Coturnix japonica: one gene and its partners. The main gene of each other region encodes a partner of the protein of the gene in region 2 in a complex. Links are inferred from orthologs where the notes say so. Each region holds a gene or a part of one and is shown on either strand. Other genes may lie near its edges.

Region 1 (5,458 bases), on a different chromosome or scaffold from region 2:
GTCTTTGAAATGGAGCTCACCCAGGCATGGTTCTCTACAGTCCCTCCTTCCTAATTGCTTTTATCTCAAGAGCAGGTGAGTGGTCCTTGTGACATCTCATCTAGACATCTCTGATATCTCATCTAGATCTCCTCTCCTTTAGTTTCAAACCATTCCCCTTTTTTCCCTATCACTATCTATCCACATAAAAAGTTGTCTTCCCTCCAGTTTATAATCTCCCTTTAAATACTGGATGTCCCAGTGTCCCAAAACTTTCCAAGCACAGATGCGACACAGCTTTTCAAACCTTTCTGACAAATGGACTAATGTCAAGCTCAGAATTTCTCTTGGGTAGTTGTGTCCCTTTTACCAACAAACTGCCCACAGGAGGCTTTGCAGTGCAGCTGCAGCCATCTGTGCATGGACTGCAGATATACTCTGACACTTCCTAGGATAGAATCTGGGGTTCGAATGTGGCACACTACCAGCTCTACCAGCAATGCTTCATTTGAATATCACTGGCCTCATTCAAGCTGTAAATGTTGGGCATTTTTCTTCCACCAGTATCATTCTCTAGAACCACATATAGCTGCCTTCTATTCCCACTGAGTCTCTACCTCAACCATATTTCTGCAGCTGTCTGCCCTTTCCATTTCCTACCGCTGCTGTCCCTATAGCAGCCTTTGTGACTCTCCCTTCTGTCCTTCCTGACCCATATTCTCTGCATTTCCACATCCCATTCCTGCTCTTGCAAAGGAGTCAGTGGGTTTCCTCCCCCCCCCCTTTCCCTACCACCCACAGAGGGAACACCTAGTACATCTGGTAGTTTTATGCTTCTGACACAGCCGCGAGGCTTGGAAACTTTCCACGGTTGAATGTTTTTGGGTTGCAGCCAACACTGAGTGACGGATAGGAAAGTGCTACACACCTGAATGGGTCAACTGCAAAAAACCTCCTGTGGCTGTGGCAGCACGAAGGTCACCAACCTTTGGAAAAGCAGTTTCCCTCGGCATTCCTTCTTTCAAGAACAAGCTGGCTTAACACCCACTGCTCTTGGTCTAACAGGCCTCCTGACAGACCTAGAAATTCTAATTAATTCTGCGTCACCGCATCCCTTCCTCTCTCAAGTGTGCCTCTATCTGTCTACCCATCAATTCAGGCTGAAGACATGAACATGTGCGCTCTTTTCCAGGCATAGCAATGCAAGCTGGGGGAAGTAAGGAGGAGCTTCAGACTCTCATTCTGAGGAGTGAAAGGAAGGAGTAGAGCACCATGTCTCTTATTTCTGAAGGTGACTGCATCCCTCTCTTTGTTGCTTAGCTCTAAAACTCTTCAAAATCCCAAGGACAAGATGAAGGATATCCTATCAGCAGTTCTCATAGGCTGCTTTAGCACAGAGTGGAGAGAGAGAAAATGGTTTGTGGGGACTCTCTTGCACAATTCTTAGCTCTTCTAGTAGCAGCTGGATAAAGAAAATTCAGTACATCCTCTGATATGTTTACTCCTCTTCATGACAAACACATAGATACACCTAATGCTTCTTTGTACTAGTAATTCAGGAGCAGATGAGGAGGAGGCACAGGACATTATTGCTCCAGGGGTGGTGGAACAAGCAGCCATGGGGTAGATGCTGCTTCCAAGAGACTGCTTATTTCACCACTGACACTGAGGGATAGACCCATTAGAGCTGGAAAGACCAAGATCACCCAATCAAACTGCCAGCCCATCCCCACCATACCTACCGACCATGTCCTCAGTGCCACATCCACACGGCTCTGGAACACCTCCAGGGACGGTGACTGCACCACCTCCCTGGGCAGCCTGTGCCACTGCATCACTGCTCTTCCTGAGAAGAAATTCTTCCTAATATTCAATCTGAACTTTCCCCAGAGAAACGTGAGGCCATTACCTCTTGTCCTTTTGATACAGGGAAGACATGGGAAATCCTCATTGCCTCATGTCCTTTGCTACTCTCACTGCAGGTCCTCTTGCCTGTTTACACCTCTTTCAAACTCTGTATGCTACAGATGAGAGGGGAAAGCCCACTCTTCCAGTTTCTCACCCTTCTCCAACATTACCTCAGCTCCCATGCAAAAGCAGTTTGGTGCCCCCAGATGTTGGCTCGGATGGGGCAGGAAGGCAGTGGGTTGAGACATGAGGTGCAAAAGAAAAAAATTACAGCAATAATCTCCCAAACCACAAAGTCATGCACGCTCCGCCTACAGCTAACGGCCTCACTGCAGAGCTGCGGTGGGAGGGGAGGAGGAACCAGAGGGCGATTGAGTGAAGTTCCCTCTTCCACTTCCTCCCTCCCTGCAACCTGACCCCTTGCTCCGGCTCAAGGTCTGATACCCAAATTTGCCCGTGTCTACTGGCTGTTTGCCTTGACCTGACTTTCCTTTGCCCCAGGCACTGTCCTCCACCACAGGTCTAAGGACATGCAAGCCATCAAGTGTGTCGTGGTGGGAGATGGGTATGTATCCCCTTCTTTTTCTGTGGGAGGGAGGAGTGGTGATGAGGGGTGAGGAAGAAGGTTGCTGCTTGCTGAGACCTCCCCAGCTTCATTTCCTATCTCTTACAGCTCTGCATTGCATTTCTTGCTCCTCTTTCTTCACCATGGCAAGGAACTTGGCTCTGAAGAGCCTGGGGGGGGAGAAGAGGGTGCTTTGAAGGGCATTTGCAAAAGTGGAACTGTCACTCACAGGCCTGGCAGATCTGGCTCACACACAGAAGGCAGTGGCATCACTGCCAGATTCAACCTATGGGTAGGAGTCAGATTGAAAATCTGAGAGGTGCAAGCGCCCTGCTGCAGGGGAATGGCTCCTTGAAGGCCATCTGCTCACTGGGGCTGGCCAAAGGAAGATGCAGAGCCATAGTGCTGATGAGATATCCTCCAGTATCTGCACATTCAGCCTTTCTTAATGTGTTGTCCATTTTTCAGTGTGTGGGGAGAGTATTTGGTGATGGGCTTCTGTGGGCGCAAGGAAAAAGGGATTGCAATGAGATGGGTGTAGGTTTATACCCCTTGGAAGCATGCACTGTCCATGTCCCATGACCTTTGGAAATCGATCTAAGCTGACAAAAAGCAAGGCAGTGGTGCTGGGGACCTGGGGTACAAGGTCTGTGGATGGGTGGGATGAGTGGATGAAGGGAGCAGAGTCCAGCAGGGAGCAGGTCATCAGGCATGGAGGTGGTTAATTCATTTCCTAGCTGGGAGCTGGCCAGAATGTTATCTGGGACAGCTATCAGGCAACAGATGAAGAGACATTTGCAGCAGCCCTGCTCCCCACAGTCACTTCCTCCTTCAGATCTACCCCATGGAGGAAGAAGTTTGCAAACAGCAATAGATGTCAGACATATTCTCAGAGGCTGGGGCAACAGGGTTGGAGGAAGAGACAGGGAATGAGACAGTGCTGTGTAAACATTGTTACATTTTGGAAAAGTGCACCAAAGGGTACAGGCTAGAGCTGGAAGAGCAACAGTACTGGGCATTGATATGTTGTCCTGTTAACCTGTGGGTTGCCCTCCATATATTATGCTGACTCTTGTAACCACCCCTCAAGGCAGCATTCCCCTTATAACACCACTGACTCCACTACACGTCCTTCTGACTGAAATCCTCCTAAATCTTTTGTCTGCCCCATAATTCTGCTTCTCTGTACACTTCCCCCACCCTCCAACTAGTTGTCACCACCCTGAGCTCTGTGGTTTTATTTCACCCCCTTCATCTCCCTCTCAGCCAAACCAGCCTTGTCATTTTCCACCAACTCAAACCTACTGACCACAGGACCTTCTGCCATCACTTAACTGACCCCTCATGTTCCCCCATAGTTGTTCTGGCCTCATAGCCAGCCCCATCACATATCACCTGCCTCTTAGCTCTCCCTGAGTTCAATCACAGGAACCTGCTTTGCCATAACCTTCACCCCTTTGGTGACCCTTTGTGCTCCTCTCAGTTCAGTCACACTAATTCAGAACCTTCTCTCCTTTCCATGCCTAACTCACCCCCTTGGCACCACAGGTCTTCTGAGCCGTTCTGCATAGAGTGAGCCTCCATGGTCATCTACAACAAGAGCTAAGAGGGAAGCTGGGGAAAGAGAGGGAACTCAGTGAGGAGGATATAAGAATGGGAGGTGGCAGAGAGAAAAAAAAGCATCAGAGCATGCTGAAGAACTGTTTCATCTTCAGCTGCTTCACAGTGTGATGACTGAGGCAAGTGCCTCACCACCAGAGCAAAGATGCCAACTGTGCATGACAAGGGCACACCAACACACAGAGCCACAGCTCTGCAAAAGTAGACTTTGCAGGTATGGATGAAAAGCTTGGAGGCTGCTTCATGGCCAGATGGAGTGTCTCCACCAGTCCTCTTGCCCATTCTGTCTTGTGCTGCTACCCTGACTTATTTCTCTCCACCCTGATGCGGTGTGTGGGTGGGAGAGGCTGAGGAAGGAGGAAGCACCAGCTATATGCGCAAAAAAAGTGTGAGCAGCCTCAGTCAGCCACAAGGAGAGGCACCTTACTGGTGGCTTGCAGCTCTTGGTAAGGTTGATAGTGCAGCTTGCAGTGGCTCATAGATGGTGCAAACTGTCAAGGCTGCGGACAGCTGGGAAGCTTAGTTCTGACATTTCTGCACCAGGACACTGTGAGGCTATCCTGGCTATGAGTGTGCAGTACTGTGCACACACTGGAAAAGGGGCTCTTATCCCCACCTGGATGTAGTCTAACTGAACAGTCTTCATACCAGACCATAAAAACAAGCTTTTGTGCTCAAAGACAACCGACTGCTCTGGGTGACAGCATATCTTCCTTCCATCCGGCAGTCAAATCTATGGCTATGTGATATCTAGTCTTGTGAATGTGATAATCCTTCCATAGTTCTCCTAACAAACTTGTAGCTTTGAGTCATGGGAGGGTTTCTCCATCTCACCCCTGTAAGACTACCTGTACTACCATTGTTCCCAGCTATGTTTTTTATTTCTCTTCCAGAGCTGTGGGGAAAACCTGTCTCCTCATCAGCTACACCACCAATGCCTTCCCAGGAGAATACATCCCCACTGTGTGAGTGACACATCTGCAGTCTGGGGGTGGGTGGGAGGCACGGAAAGCAGGTTATAAAGGAATGCTGTCGTGAACCCCCATACCAGTAGAGGAAGAGAAGCCAAACCAACATGACTTCAGATTGTCATTCACCTTTCACCAAAAGCACTTAGAAAACCAAAGTATAAATGGAACACTTGGAAAACATTAATTAACCCAAGGGTCTACATGCCTGCCAAGTTTACAAGTAGCAGATGGAGTCTACTCCATCTACTCACCTCCTTGGGAGTGGCTGTGAAATGGCCATGTGTTTGTGGACTGCACAACATTTCTCCTCATGCCTGAGACTTGTGGTTGGAGATGATGAAAGGAGGCCATTTTGTGCTCCTTGCAGTAAGGCTTATCTCACAATGGCAGCGTGTGTCATGAGCAAGTTCAAAAA
Region 2 (5,168 bases):
CTCCTCGACCCCACCACCATTTATTTATGAGTTATTTATGATGCCCGCTGGGGGATTTATTTTTGTAACCCTGTATTTATTGCTGAACCCCCCCCCCCCCACAGCCCCTTGAACCCCCATAAGGCAGCAGCCCTGGGCTCTGCCTTAGCCCTCCCCAGTTATTTATTCCCCCTCAGTGCTATTTATTGAGACCTCCATGTGCTACTGAACGCCAGCCTGAAAATAAAAGCCTGACCCCACAATGTGCCACACTGGGATAAATGGGAGGGCAAAGGGTTGAGGTGCACAGGGTCCCCCTGTGGATGCTGGAGGGGAGGTGCCAAGGATGCGGGGATAGAGGTGCATTGGGAACCCCCATCCCAGCCACCCCAGTGGATGCTGGGGGGCATCTCCCATCCCCAAAGCACACCCAGGGGAAGGGGGAGGCAATGGGGAGGGAAGGGGGGGGAATGGGGGCGGCCCCATGCCAGCACCCTGTCACCACCCACTCCTTTCTCACAGCTCTGCCCCAAGCACTCACATCCCATGGACTCAGCGCCACCTACCGGGGTTGTTCCATATGCTTTTAGAGCACCCATGGGTGCTGGAGGTGGGGGGAGAGGGGATATGGGGCTGGGGGTGTCACCTCTGGGTACCCTAACCCTAACCACTGCAGGTCTGTCCCATCGCTGGGGTCACTAAAGATTTGGGCACTGAGCTCCCAACTCACACCCAGGGCACATGAATGGGGTGTGATCAGGAAGGATCTGGGGCCTTTCGGTCCTTTTATTGCAAAAAGCAACCAGAAAAGAAAAAAGACAATGTATAAAACGTGAAGAGGTGGCGCAGCAAGCAGAGCTGCGTGAGCCCACAATGGGGCTGTGAGGCTGGGGGAGCTCCTTGGGATATGGGGGCACCTGAGCAGCCCCCAGGGATTCTGAGGAACCAAGGGGGGGGAAGGAGGGGAGATGAGCACCCCTAGGGGTCTGGGGACCAATGGGGGGGTGAGGGGTACAGTAGGGAAGTGAGTGCAGCACTGGGACCCCCAGCTCCGTGTTACTCAGCCTCTACAGGGATGGGGTTCACCTGCCCCCCCACTTCTGCTGCCTGTTTCCTGCGTGCATCAGCAGGGGGTCGGGGTGGGGGGTTGCTGGGGGGCTGTTTGATGGTGTCCCCCATGTGCGGCCGCTCGCGGGGCTTCTGCTCAATGGGTCGCCATTCCTCCCCACGCACCGCTGCCTGCAGGGCCAGGGGGGAGCAGTCAGCAGGGAGCCCCCTCCTTCAGCCCCATAATCAGCCCCCATTACCCCCCCAGAGGAGCTCACCAGCAGGTAGATGCCACTGGCAATGCCCAAACAGACGGTGCCCAGGATGGTGGAGAGCAGGAAGCCAGCAGGGACGGCCAGCCTGAGGGTACAGGGGAAGGTTAAAAGGGGGGGGGGTTCAGGTTCACCCCCCAGCCCCAACCCCACTCACGCTGCGTGCAGGATGGCACGGATGTAATAGTTCCGGGTGAGCGGTCCAAACACCTTCAGCACTGCTGTCATGTACTTCTGGCCACTATGGGGCAATATGCAGAGTCAGGGGGGCACCCGGCCCCAAAAGACCCCCCCCCTAAATATATATAGGCACCCCAATAGCACCCCATCACTCACCAGCGCTCCATGGTGGAGCCCTTCTGCCTCTTGCTGCGTGGGTATTCCAACAGGCAGACGAAGGCGCCTGCAGCACTGCAGGGGGATGGGGGTCAAGGAAAAGGGGGGTTTGGAGCCAAGGGTGGGGGTGAGACCCCACAGGGAATGGGGCAGAAATGGGGCCAGGGTTGGGGGGCAGCTCCATAGGGAAAGGGGCAGGAATAGAGCGATGTGGGGCCACAGAGAGGGAGATGAGGGACCCCCCCCCCCCCCTCCCCGCCTGCACAGAATAAGGTGCCCCCTCCCACCCCGAGCCCCATAAGGATACATGGCGTAAGCTGCGAAGTACCAGCCCTTGAACTGCCCCGCCACCGCCACGATCCCTCCGGTCAGCATGACTGCGGGACAGCGGGGACACTGCTGGCATCCCGGCTATTAACAGCGGGGGATGCTTCGCGTGGGACCCCCACGAGCCCAAACAGGGAACGGGGCGGGGGGTTGGGGGTTAAACCCTATAGCGGCCGGGCTGGGGGGCAGCGGGGGGGAGACCCACGGTGACACACGATGTTGGTGATACGCTCCGGCAGCGCTTCCGCGTCCTCATCGCCGCTCACTTCCTCCATCTCCGGGCGGGGTTGGGCCAAAACGGGATGGGGGGGTCGGGGGGGAACACAGCCAGGGGTCTCTCCCCATATCCCGTATCTATAGCCTCACATTCTCAACCCTACACCCCCAGCCCTGAACTCCCTTCCCCATATCCTCACCCCCATCCCTGCATCCCCATCCCACATGGGACCCTTTGACCCTCCCCCCATCACCCAGCCCCTTTAACTCCCCATCTCCCCCCCGCACTCACTCAGCCCCGCCGCCAGCGCCTGTTCGTTGGCCCACATGGCCCATTCGATCTGCCCCATGGTTCGAGCTCAGCCTTAGTTCGGGCTCGGCCCAACCCGACCCGGAAGGCAGCGATGGAGCCGAACAGCCGAACCCCTTCCCCTCCTTAAGCGACGCCCCTTCGAGTAACCCACGCCCATTCATTACAAAGACACGCCCCCACGAAGAGCCGGGCCGTAGGGGGACACGGGGTGATACGGGAATATATAGGGTGACATGGGAATATATAGGGTGACATGGGAATATATAGGGTGACATGGGGCAGGAGCAGCCCTAATGGGGACCACGGAGCGACTCGGGACTCAGAGCAGCACTGCGGCTGGAAAACCTCTATTATTTGATTAGAAAAGAGTAAAAACCAGGCAATGGGAGGAGCCACATCTGGGTCGGGATGGGGACAGATGAGCACAGCATCTCACAGCCCCAATGCAGGCAATGGGACGGTGGGTCCCTGCCTGTGTGCCCCCCAGGGGCAGCCCCCATTGGGCATCCCTGCTGTCCCCAATGGTGTCCCCATCACGGTGTCCCCATCACGGTGTCCCCTGTTCTCAGGCAGAGTGGCATGGCAGCCCATCGGGGCCCAGTAGATGCTGGCTGGGGGCATCCAGGAGCTGTGGGCCAGGGCCAGGCTGTGGGGACAGGAGATGTGTTAGGGGACAGCACGGAGCAGGAGGCTCAGGACCACCCCCACCTCCCATACCTTGGTGTGTAGGATGTAACGAATGGCCCCTGGTACCGGATCCATCACCACGGCTGACAGCAGCTCCTCTGGCAGCACCGCTGTGCCAACGGGTCGGCCTCGAAGGAACCTGCAGCAGGGATGGCACCCAGATGTCCCCAACCCCACCCCATGTCCCATGGTTCCATCCCCATCCCCATCCCACCAGTCCCCGTCCACATCTCCATCCCTATCGCCATCCCACCAGTGCCTATAGCCATCATCTCCATCCCCATTCCCACCCAAATGTCCCCATCCCCATTCCCACCCCCCCAGTCCCAAATGACAACACCCTTACTGGTCCCCATTGGAGCTGGGTGGGAAGCTGCGCCTCACCACCTCCACAAACTCATCCACTGTATCCTCCAGCATGAAGACGACCGCATTGGGGCCAGCATCGAAGGTATAGGCCACCTGGGGACAGGGACACAGTGAGAGGGGTGCAGTGCCAGCAGGACGGGGCCATAGGGGGGGGGCTGCCCTACCTTGGTGCACCCATGGTGGGCATTGAAGCGATGCACCAGGGCGATGATGCGCCGCGAGATGTCATTGAGGTAGAAGATGGGGGGGAAGGTGTCGAGGCAGGTGGCGTGGAACTGGTTGCTGTCCTGCATGGTCAGCTGGCCAAAGGTCTCAAAGTCTCGATCCTGGATGCAGCGAGCCATGCGGGTCATGCGCTCCGGCACCACCACCTCAGCACGGTACTATAGGGGCAGCACCAGGGGGGGGTCATCTCATGGATCCCATAGGATTCACTTCCCATGGCCCCTCAGTACTCAGCCATTGGAGGAGGTGGCCATGATCCCCAAACCCAACCCATCCCACCATGCTCACACCCCGACACCTCCCCACCTCCCCATGCAGCCTGTGCTGCTCATCACCAACCATCCAACCCACCTTCAGCAGGGGGCTGGTGTCCACACTGGTCTGCATCCCCGCCGTGCTGCCCACCGCCTTCTTCTCCCCGCTGACCTACACCAGAACACAAGACATGGGGCACCCTACAAGGCGTCCACCTCCCACCCCCAGCATCAACCCCATCCCTCACCACCAGCACGAGGACACTCAGCTCCGGCCAGTGTGTCTCAGGTGCCAGCTGCTGTGCCACGCTGTCTCTACCATCCGGCCTCTCCCCACGGTTCCATTGTACGAAGCCCCCCAACATACTGCGACACGCGCTGCCCGACCCACGCCGTGCCACCTCCGACAGCTCCCCCTCCACACCATAGAGCCGTGCCAGCACCGACACTGCAGGGATAACAGCGTTATGGTCACAGCGTCCCCATCACCCCCCACCCCATTGCTGCCCCCCATACCCACCCAGGCAGGCGTAGCCAGCAGCTGAGGATGCCAACCCAGCAGCGGTGGGGAAGTTGTTCTCGGAGGCGACGTGCACTTTGTAGGACAGGCTGAGCGGGGCTGCAGCGTCGTCACCGCGTCTCTTACGGGCCAAGCGCCGCACTGTGCAGGGATGGGGTTATAGGGAAGCAAAGGACACGGCTCTGTGCCCCCCCAGCCCCCAGCCCAGCTCACCCTCCCTCAGACAGGCCTGCAGCCGGGGCTGTGCCGCATCCACCTCCTCTCCATTCAGCCACAGCCGGTCCTCGGTGAAGTCACGGCAGGCAGCAGCCGTGGTTGTGGTCCTCAGCTGTATGGGATGGCACTGAGCTCATGGGGGGGGGCACACAGCCCTGAGGGTGGGGATATGGGATCCCCAGGGTTTGAGGTGGGCACCAACCTGGTCCTGGTGCAGCGTGACGCTGAGAGAGGAGTTGATGGGCAGGATGAGCTCGGTGTCACGCTTCCCCCCTGCAACAGATGGGAGAGGTGAAGCAATGCTTGGCATGGCACGGTGCCACTGTGCTCAGTGCCACTTGGCATGGCATGGCATGGTACCACTTAGTATGGCATGGCATGGCACAGCATAGCATGGCATGGCATGG
Region 3 (5,644 bases), on a different chromosome or scaffold from region 2:
CAGAGCAAACTCACTGAACTCTGTTACACTATTCAGCATTGAAAGACAGAATTTGTTATGAGTATCACAAAGTTTGTGTGCAAACTGCTCTATTCAAATGTATTTCAGAATTATTAAAGGAATAATGGTCTACTTGTTCAGGAGGTGACTAATGTTTGGATGCAGAATAAATATTTCTGCCTTTCTTACCTATTGACAGGATCGTGCAGAAAGCATTGTCCTGAAGGTCCTCATCTCATTCAAAGCCAACGATATCGAGAAGGCAGTCCAGTCCCTGGATAAGAATGGTGTTGATCTGCTAATGAAGTACATCTACAAAGGCTTTGAGAGCCCCTCTGACAACAGCAGTGCTGTGCTGCTGCAGTGGCATGAGAAGGTGTGTGTATAGGACGTGCTCATCCCCTGGGTTGTTTGTGAATAGGTTCTTGGGTCCTGGGTACACTCAACTGAGCCTCATCAAACCAAAATAGGTTCACAGAATCATGGAATCATTTGATTTGGAAGGGATTGTTTCAGACAGGTTCTTAGTGATATCAGGCTAAAGCATCTTTAGCATCACTAAAGAATTTGCAGGTAGGACAACAGCCATATAAAGAAAGAAGAGTTAAACTCACCCACCTGGTGGAAAAGTCTCTGAGCACACAGCACTCCTCAGGAAGCAAAGCAGGCCTAAGAGATGCTCATCCTTCCATGGCTGGCCCTTATATGAGCCAGGGTGGATTCACCGTGGGTTCACCCCTTCTGGTCACATGGGAAGTACAGGTGCAAACAGTTTGCTTGTGTTCCCTGGCCCAGCCACAGCCCTTCACCTGGAGCTCAATCACCAATTCATGCCATGACCTAACAGTTTCCCTACAACCCCCAAGTCATTTCCATCATGGCTGTGCTCTATCCTTTATCCATCAACTTGCACTAATAGTGGGGGTTGTCATGACTCATGTGCAAGACCTTGCACTTGGATTTGTTGAGCTCCACAAGATTCTCCTTGTTCATTGCTCAGCCTGTCTAGGTCTCTCTGAACAACATCCCGTCCCTTGGCATGTTGACTGCACCACACATAAGCTTTCAACTTGATTGTGGCCATTCTTGCGGGGCACTCTATTCCTCCCATGATAGAGAGCGAACGCCTCCCCTCCTTCCTCACCTGTCCCTTCTGAAAGCTTGGAGTTGCCTATAGCCACAGAGTGCCAGCAGCCAAGTGCTGCATTTCCTGCAGTGAGGACTGCACTGTCCTGCACGCTCAGAATTCTCTTGTTCTTCCTCATTCTTCTGATTCCTCGAGTAATGATTCTGCATTTATAGTTCGATTTATTTATACAATTTTTTTTAGTCAGACTGGGGCAAACAAAATAATCCAACATAGTTCAACATGTTTCTCTCCTCAGGCGCTGGCTGCTGGTGGAGTTGGGTCTATCGTCCGTGTTTTGACCGCCAGGAAAACGGTTTAACTCAGCAACCAAGGGCTGTTTGCTCTCCGTGGTGTGGGAAATGCTGGTGCAAAACCCAACCAGATGCCATTGCTGCCCTGTGGGCAGCGCCTGTCTCTCAGCTTGCCTTCTCGCTGCTTCTTTCATACCTGACAAGTAACGCATATCGTGATCTCTTTTTGTTCAACTCTGGAAAAACTATGAAGGTGCAATTTTATTTCTAACAGGACTCTTTGGTACTCGAGCATTTCAGTGACACGCATAGCTACATTTACAACATATTTAGGGTGATTCGTATTTGTGTATAATCATGGCAGATTTGGGCCTGACTTTCCACGCAAGTGCTGAGGGACGTAGGGCAATGTCTTAATCCTTTTTGCCAGCCAAACAGTGTGATTTGAGAAGTGGGGCAGCTGTTAACGTTGGTAACTGGACCATGTTTCCTTTGGTCAACCTCTGAGCCTACAGCAGTGAGTAGGACAGAAAAGAGCAGCTTCCTTCTGACCGATCATCATTCCATGAAGCCAGCTATTGTCCTTAACCTCACACCTTGTGGCCTGTTCCGGATGTGCTGTGATCAGTCATAGACCAGGTGCACAGCAGGCAGATCACAGCGAGGATGGAGCTGTACATCCGTATGCTAGAATGTAAAGGTCCATTTACACTGGAGCTAAAGATCCTACACAGGAGAAGTAAAGGGATGTAGAATTAAGGCTTAGCAGACAGTTGACATCCCTGCTGTACTTGCATTAGCAAGTGGGCAAATAGAAGCTCCAATATAAAGAGGAGTATATTAAAAAGGAATTAAGGAAGCATTGGGCATCCCAGCCCACAGCTCACCACGGAAGGTCAGGGCCAGGACTGAGACCATTTTACAACAGTTCCGTTTGTGTGAAACGGTTGGATGACTTGTGAAATCTTTGCTGTTTTTTGATATCTGCTTTTTTTGTTTGTTGGTTTCTTTGTTTTTTTGTAATAAAAACGAGACAAATAAATCGTCACTGAATATTTAACCTGGAGTCTGAGATATCTTGAAGCTGACTTTAATTCTGCAGTTAGCTGAACGCGAGGGAAGGCCTCTGTTCTGCTGGCTGCTGCTGAGTGAAACGGGAAGAGGCGGTGAGCTAATGAGCACTGTGCACATCACATGGCCCTGCTCACCCCCAGAGCAGCATCACACCATGGATGCACTCCCCTTTGTGGAGGTGCAGATGTGTGACACGAGGAGCTGCTGATCTCTCTCCTCAGACAACCCCCACACGAAGCCCCCCGAAGCACAACCCAAGGAGGACGTGATGCAATGCAGGTACAGCCCCAAGTGGAAGCCTGTAGAGGCAGGGCAGCTCCACTTCCCCATCTCAGGGCCGTGCCGCTCTGACGCCACCGAGGCCACTTCCTGGTGGGTCTGTGACACCAGGCAGACGTGCAGCAGGGAGGAGCTGGACAAGGAAGGCACACACTGCAGGGAAGGCTGGGCAGGAGAGCACCCAACACAGCTGGGCACAGCTGGGCACACCACAATGTCGCTGGTGGAGACCATCCGGCTGTGGCAAGAGGGAGTGTGTGCAGCGGATGGCAAGGAGTGGGGGGCAGCCCTGAAGGCCTTCACTGCTGTCCAGAACCCACCGGCCAAAATCTGCTTCAACATTGGCTGCATCCACCTGGTCCTGGGGCAGCTGGCCGACGCACAGGAGGTAAGGCACAGCTCGCAGTGCTGCAGTGCTGTCACCCACTTCTCCCTTCTCACCCCTCTTGCCCTGCTCCCTACAGGCATTCACACAGAGCATCAGCTGTGACAAGCACTTGGCCGTGGCCTATTTCCAGCGGGGAACTGTCTTCTACAAGAGACACAAGTGAGTGCAAAGCTTCAGCACCTCAGTTTTACCCCTCGTTCAGCTGTTGGCCTTGGGCAGTGTGGGGTACCAGGGATTCAGCCCTGAGGTGAAGTGTTTATGCGGGGTATCACAACACCATCACAAGGCCTTACCTCGTCCTCTCCTCCCCAGCCATGAAATGGCCATGAAGGATTTCAAGCAGGCTCTGGCCCAGCTGAGAGGCAACCAGCTCATCGACTACAAGATCCTGGGGCTGCGCTACAGGCTCTTTGCTTGTGAGGTGAGAGAAACCAAATAGTGTTTCAGTCTTGGTCACTGGCTCAACAGAATCCAGGGGAAATTCACCCAATGGTGTTTCAATGGGCTCATCATGTCCAGAGAAGGAATTGTGTGGGGTGTGGAGCACAGTGTGATGGGGAGCAGCTGAGGGAATGGGATGGGGCAGTGTGGAGGAGCCTGAAAGGAGGCTGTGGTGAGGTGGGGTCGGCCTCTGCTCCTGGTAACAGTGATAGGATGAGAGGGAATGGCCTCAAATTGCACCAGGGGAGATTCAGGTTGGATATGAGGAACATTTCTCCTTCCAAAGAGTGGTGATGCAGTGGCACAGCTGCCCAGGGAGGTGCTGCAGTCACCATCCCTGGAGGTGTCCAAGAACTGTGGAGATGTGGCATTGAGGGTCGTGGTTAGTGAGCACGGCGGGGATGGATTTGGTGATCTAAGAGCTCTTTTCCAAAATGAAGGATTCTATGACTCACGCCTTACAAAATAAATCAGGCACACCAGGGTGGGGATGGAGAGCTGGTGTGATGCAAGGATGTCATTAGGGTAGCAAAAAACACCCACAGCAAGGGTCTGGTGCCTCTAAAAGACCATTTCCTTGCTCCCATCCCTCTGCAGATCCTTTACAACATCGCGCTGGTGTATGCCACCATGGAGGACTGGAAGAAAGCTGAGGAGCACCTGACGCTGGCAATGAGCTCAAAGAGTGAGCCCCAGCACAACAAGATTGACAGGGCGATGGAAGCCATCCTGGTGAGGAGCAGCAGGTCTCAGCACAGTGCCTGCCTATGGAGGGCCGTGACTAGATGATCTTCAAAGTCTTTTCCAACCTTAATGATTTCTCCCTGCTACAGAAGCAGCAGCTCTATGAGCCAGTGGCAATTCCCACAGGGAAGCTGTTTCGACCGAATGAAAAGCAAGTTGCTCAGCTGGAGAAGAAAGACTACCTGGGAAAAGCCATGGTAAGAAAGGAGCGTTAATGCAAGCTGTGTCTGCAGGCTGGAGACAAACCCAGAGCACCCACACCCGACGAGGTTGACTTGGATGGCAGCAAAGGAGGACAGTGGATGTGAGAGATCAGAGGTGTAAGAAAAGCACCAGGTCACAGCATGTCTTCCTTTGGCTGTAGGTGGTGGCATCCGTGGTGGACAAGGATAGTTTTTCAGGATTTGCTCCCCTCCAGCCACAGGTAAGGAACCAACCCCCTGCAGTCCACATGGTGCAAAGAGCTTCAAGCATACACAGGGAAGGGGTGACAGTGGTGACACAGAGCAGTGTCACCAGGCCAAGCTTCCTACCACGGCCAGGGTAAGGAAGAAGCTGCTCCCACATCCCAGCTGCTTCCTTCACCAGAGGTCACAGCCCAAGCCCACTCATGTCTGAGCAGAGGTTATGGGGAAGCCAGGCCTTCAGAATGCACCCCATGCCCCCATTGTGGGGTGGTGGTTTTGGTAGGGAGCTCAGGGCGGTGACAAATCCTCCCCATGAGATTCATAAGGGCTGAGTGGAGAAGGAAACTGATGACCTGATACCAGCATGAGAAGGAGGGACCCACACAGGCATGGGAAAGAACTGCAGGACATTTCTGCAAAGCAACCCAAATCCTCCAGATTATGACAGATTTCTTTCTGTCTTCTTCACAGGCCTCTGGGCCTCCACCCAGGCCCAAGACACCAGAAATCCTCAGGTAGGTTGGATGAAACATTGGCAGCATTGCAAACATGTGCAGCCTGGTGCAGCCGTGTCCTGCACCATCCAGCTGAGTGTTCAGAACCAGTGGGGGGAAAGGAGGAGAGAAACAAAGGAGCAGAGTTTAGGCCCCCCTATGAGGTAGAACAGTAGCATCACCCCCTGCTCCTGACATGATGCTGGCTTCCATTCCCAGGGCTCTTGAAGGGCAGCCACACCGTGTCCTGTATGAGTTCATCCCTGAAACTGCTGAGGAGCTGCAGGTCCTGCCAGGAAACATCGTCTTTGTCCTGAAGAAAGAGAAGGACAACTGGGCTACGGTGATGTTCAATGGGAAGGTAGGGGGTCTGCCTGGCACAAAAGGGAGATTTACAGAGGCCTGGAAGGAGTTTCTGAACCCAGTTTCCTTGCATC

What was found. The genes of interacting proteins can lie anywhere in the genome.
Region 1: cytochrome b-245 light chain (region 2) and RAC2 share a complex: the UniProt entries of both Homo sapiens proteins name them as parts of the phagocyte NADPH oxidase complex. The link is inferred for Coturnix japonica from reciprocal best matches to the Homo sapiens genes CYBA and RAC2.
Region 3: cytochrome b-245 light chain (region 2) and NCF2 share a complex: the UniProt entries of both Homo sapiens proteins name them as parts of the phagocyte NADPH oxidase complex. The link is inferred for Coturnix japonica from reciprocal best matches to the Homo sapiens genes CYBA and NCF2.

Annotation. Positions count from the first base shown.
Region 1 is NC_029516.1:46,919,256-46,924,713, forward strand, and holds the start of RAC2 (ras-related C3 botulinum toxin substrate 2), read left to right. Parts: upstream 1-2,243; 5' UTR 2,244-2,417; coding exon 2,418-2,452; intron 2,453-4,965; coding exon 4,966-5,037; intron 5,038-5,458. UniProt on the Homo sapiens protein: Plasma membrane-associated small GTPase which cycles between an active GTP-bound and inactive GDP-bound state.
Region 2 is NC_029526.1:16,406,026-16,411,193, forward strand, and holds cytochrome b-245 light chain, read right to left. Parts: upstream 2,783-5,168; 5' UTR 2,766-2,782; coding exon 2,470-2,765; intron 2,012-2,469; coding exon of another isoform or gene 1,942-2,011; intron 1,710-1,941; coding exon 1,635-1,709; intron 1,540-1,634; coding exon 1,456-1,539; intron 1,387-1,455; coding exon 1,305-1,386; intron 1,219-1,304; coding exon 1,036-1,218; 3' UTR 741-1,035; downstream 1-740. Other genes in the region: MVD (diphosphomevalonate decarboxylase), read right to left, coding at 3,056-3,136, 3,208-3,316, 3,524-3,639, 3,711-3,929, 4,123-4,197, 4,274-4,473, 4,546-4,686, 4,759-4,873 and 1 more. UniProt on the Homo sapiens protein: Subunit of NADPH oxidase complexes that is required for the NADPH oxidase activity that generates, in various cell types, superoxide from molecular oxygen utilizing NADPH as an electron donor.
Region 3 is NC_029523.1:4,316,089-4,321,732, forward strand, and holds the start of NCF2 (neutrophil cytosol factor 2), read left to right. Parts: upstream 1-2,429; 5' UTR 2,430-2,546; intron 2,547-2,555; exon of another isoform or gene 2,556-2,675; 5' UTR 2,676-2,722; coding exon 2,723-3,121; intron 3,122-3,197; coding exon 3,198-3,280; intron 3,281-3,433; coding exon 3,434-3,542; intron 3,543-4,159; coding exon 4,160-4,294; intron 4,295-4,395; coding exon 4,396-4,503; intron 4,504-4,670; coding exon 4,671-4,730; intron 4,731-5,184; coding exon 5,185-5,228; intron 5,229-5,426; coding exon 5,427-5,568; intron 5,569-5,644. Other genes in the region: ARPC5 (actin-related protein 2/3 complex subunit 5), read left to right, coding at 200-376, 1,386-1,448. UniProt on the Homo sapiens protein: Subunit of the phagocyte NADPH oxidase complex that mediates the transfer of electrons from cytosolic NADPH to O2 to produce the superoxide anion (O2(-)).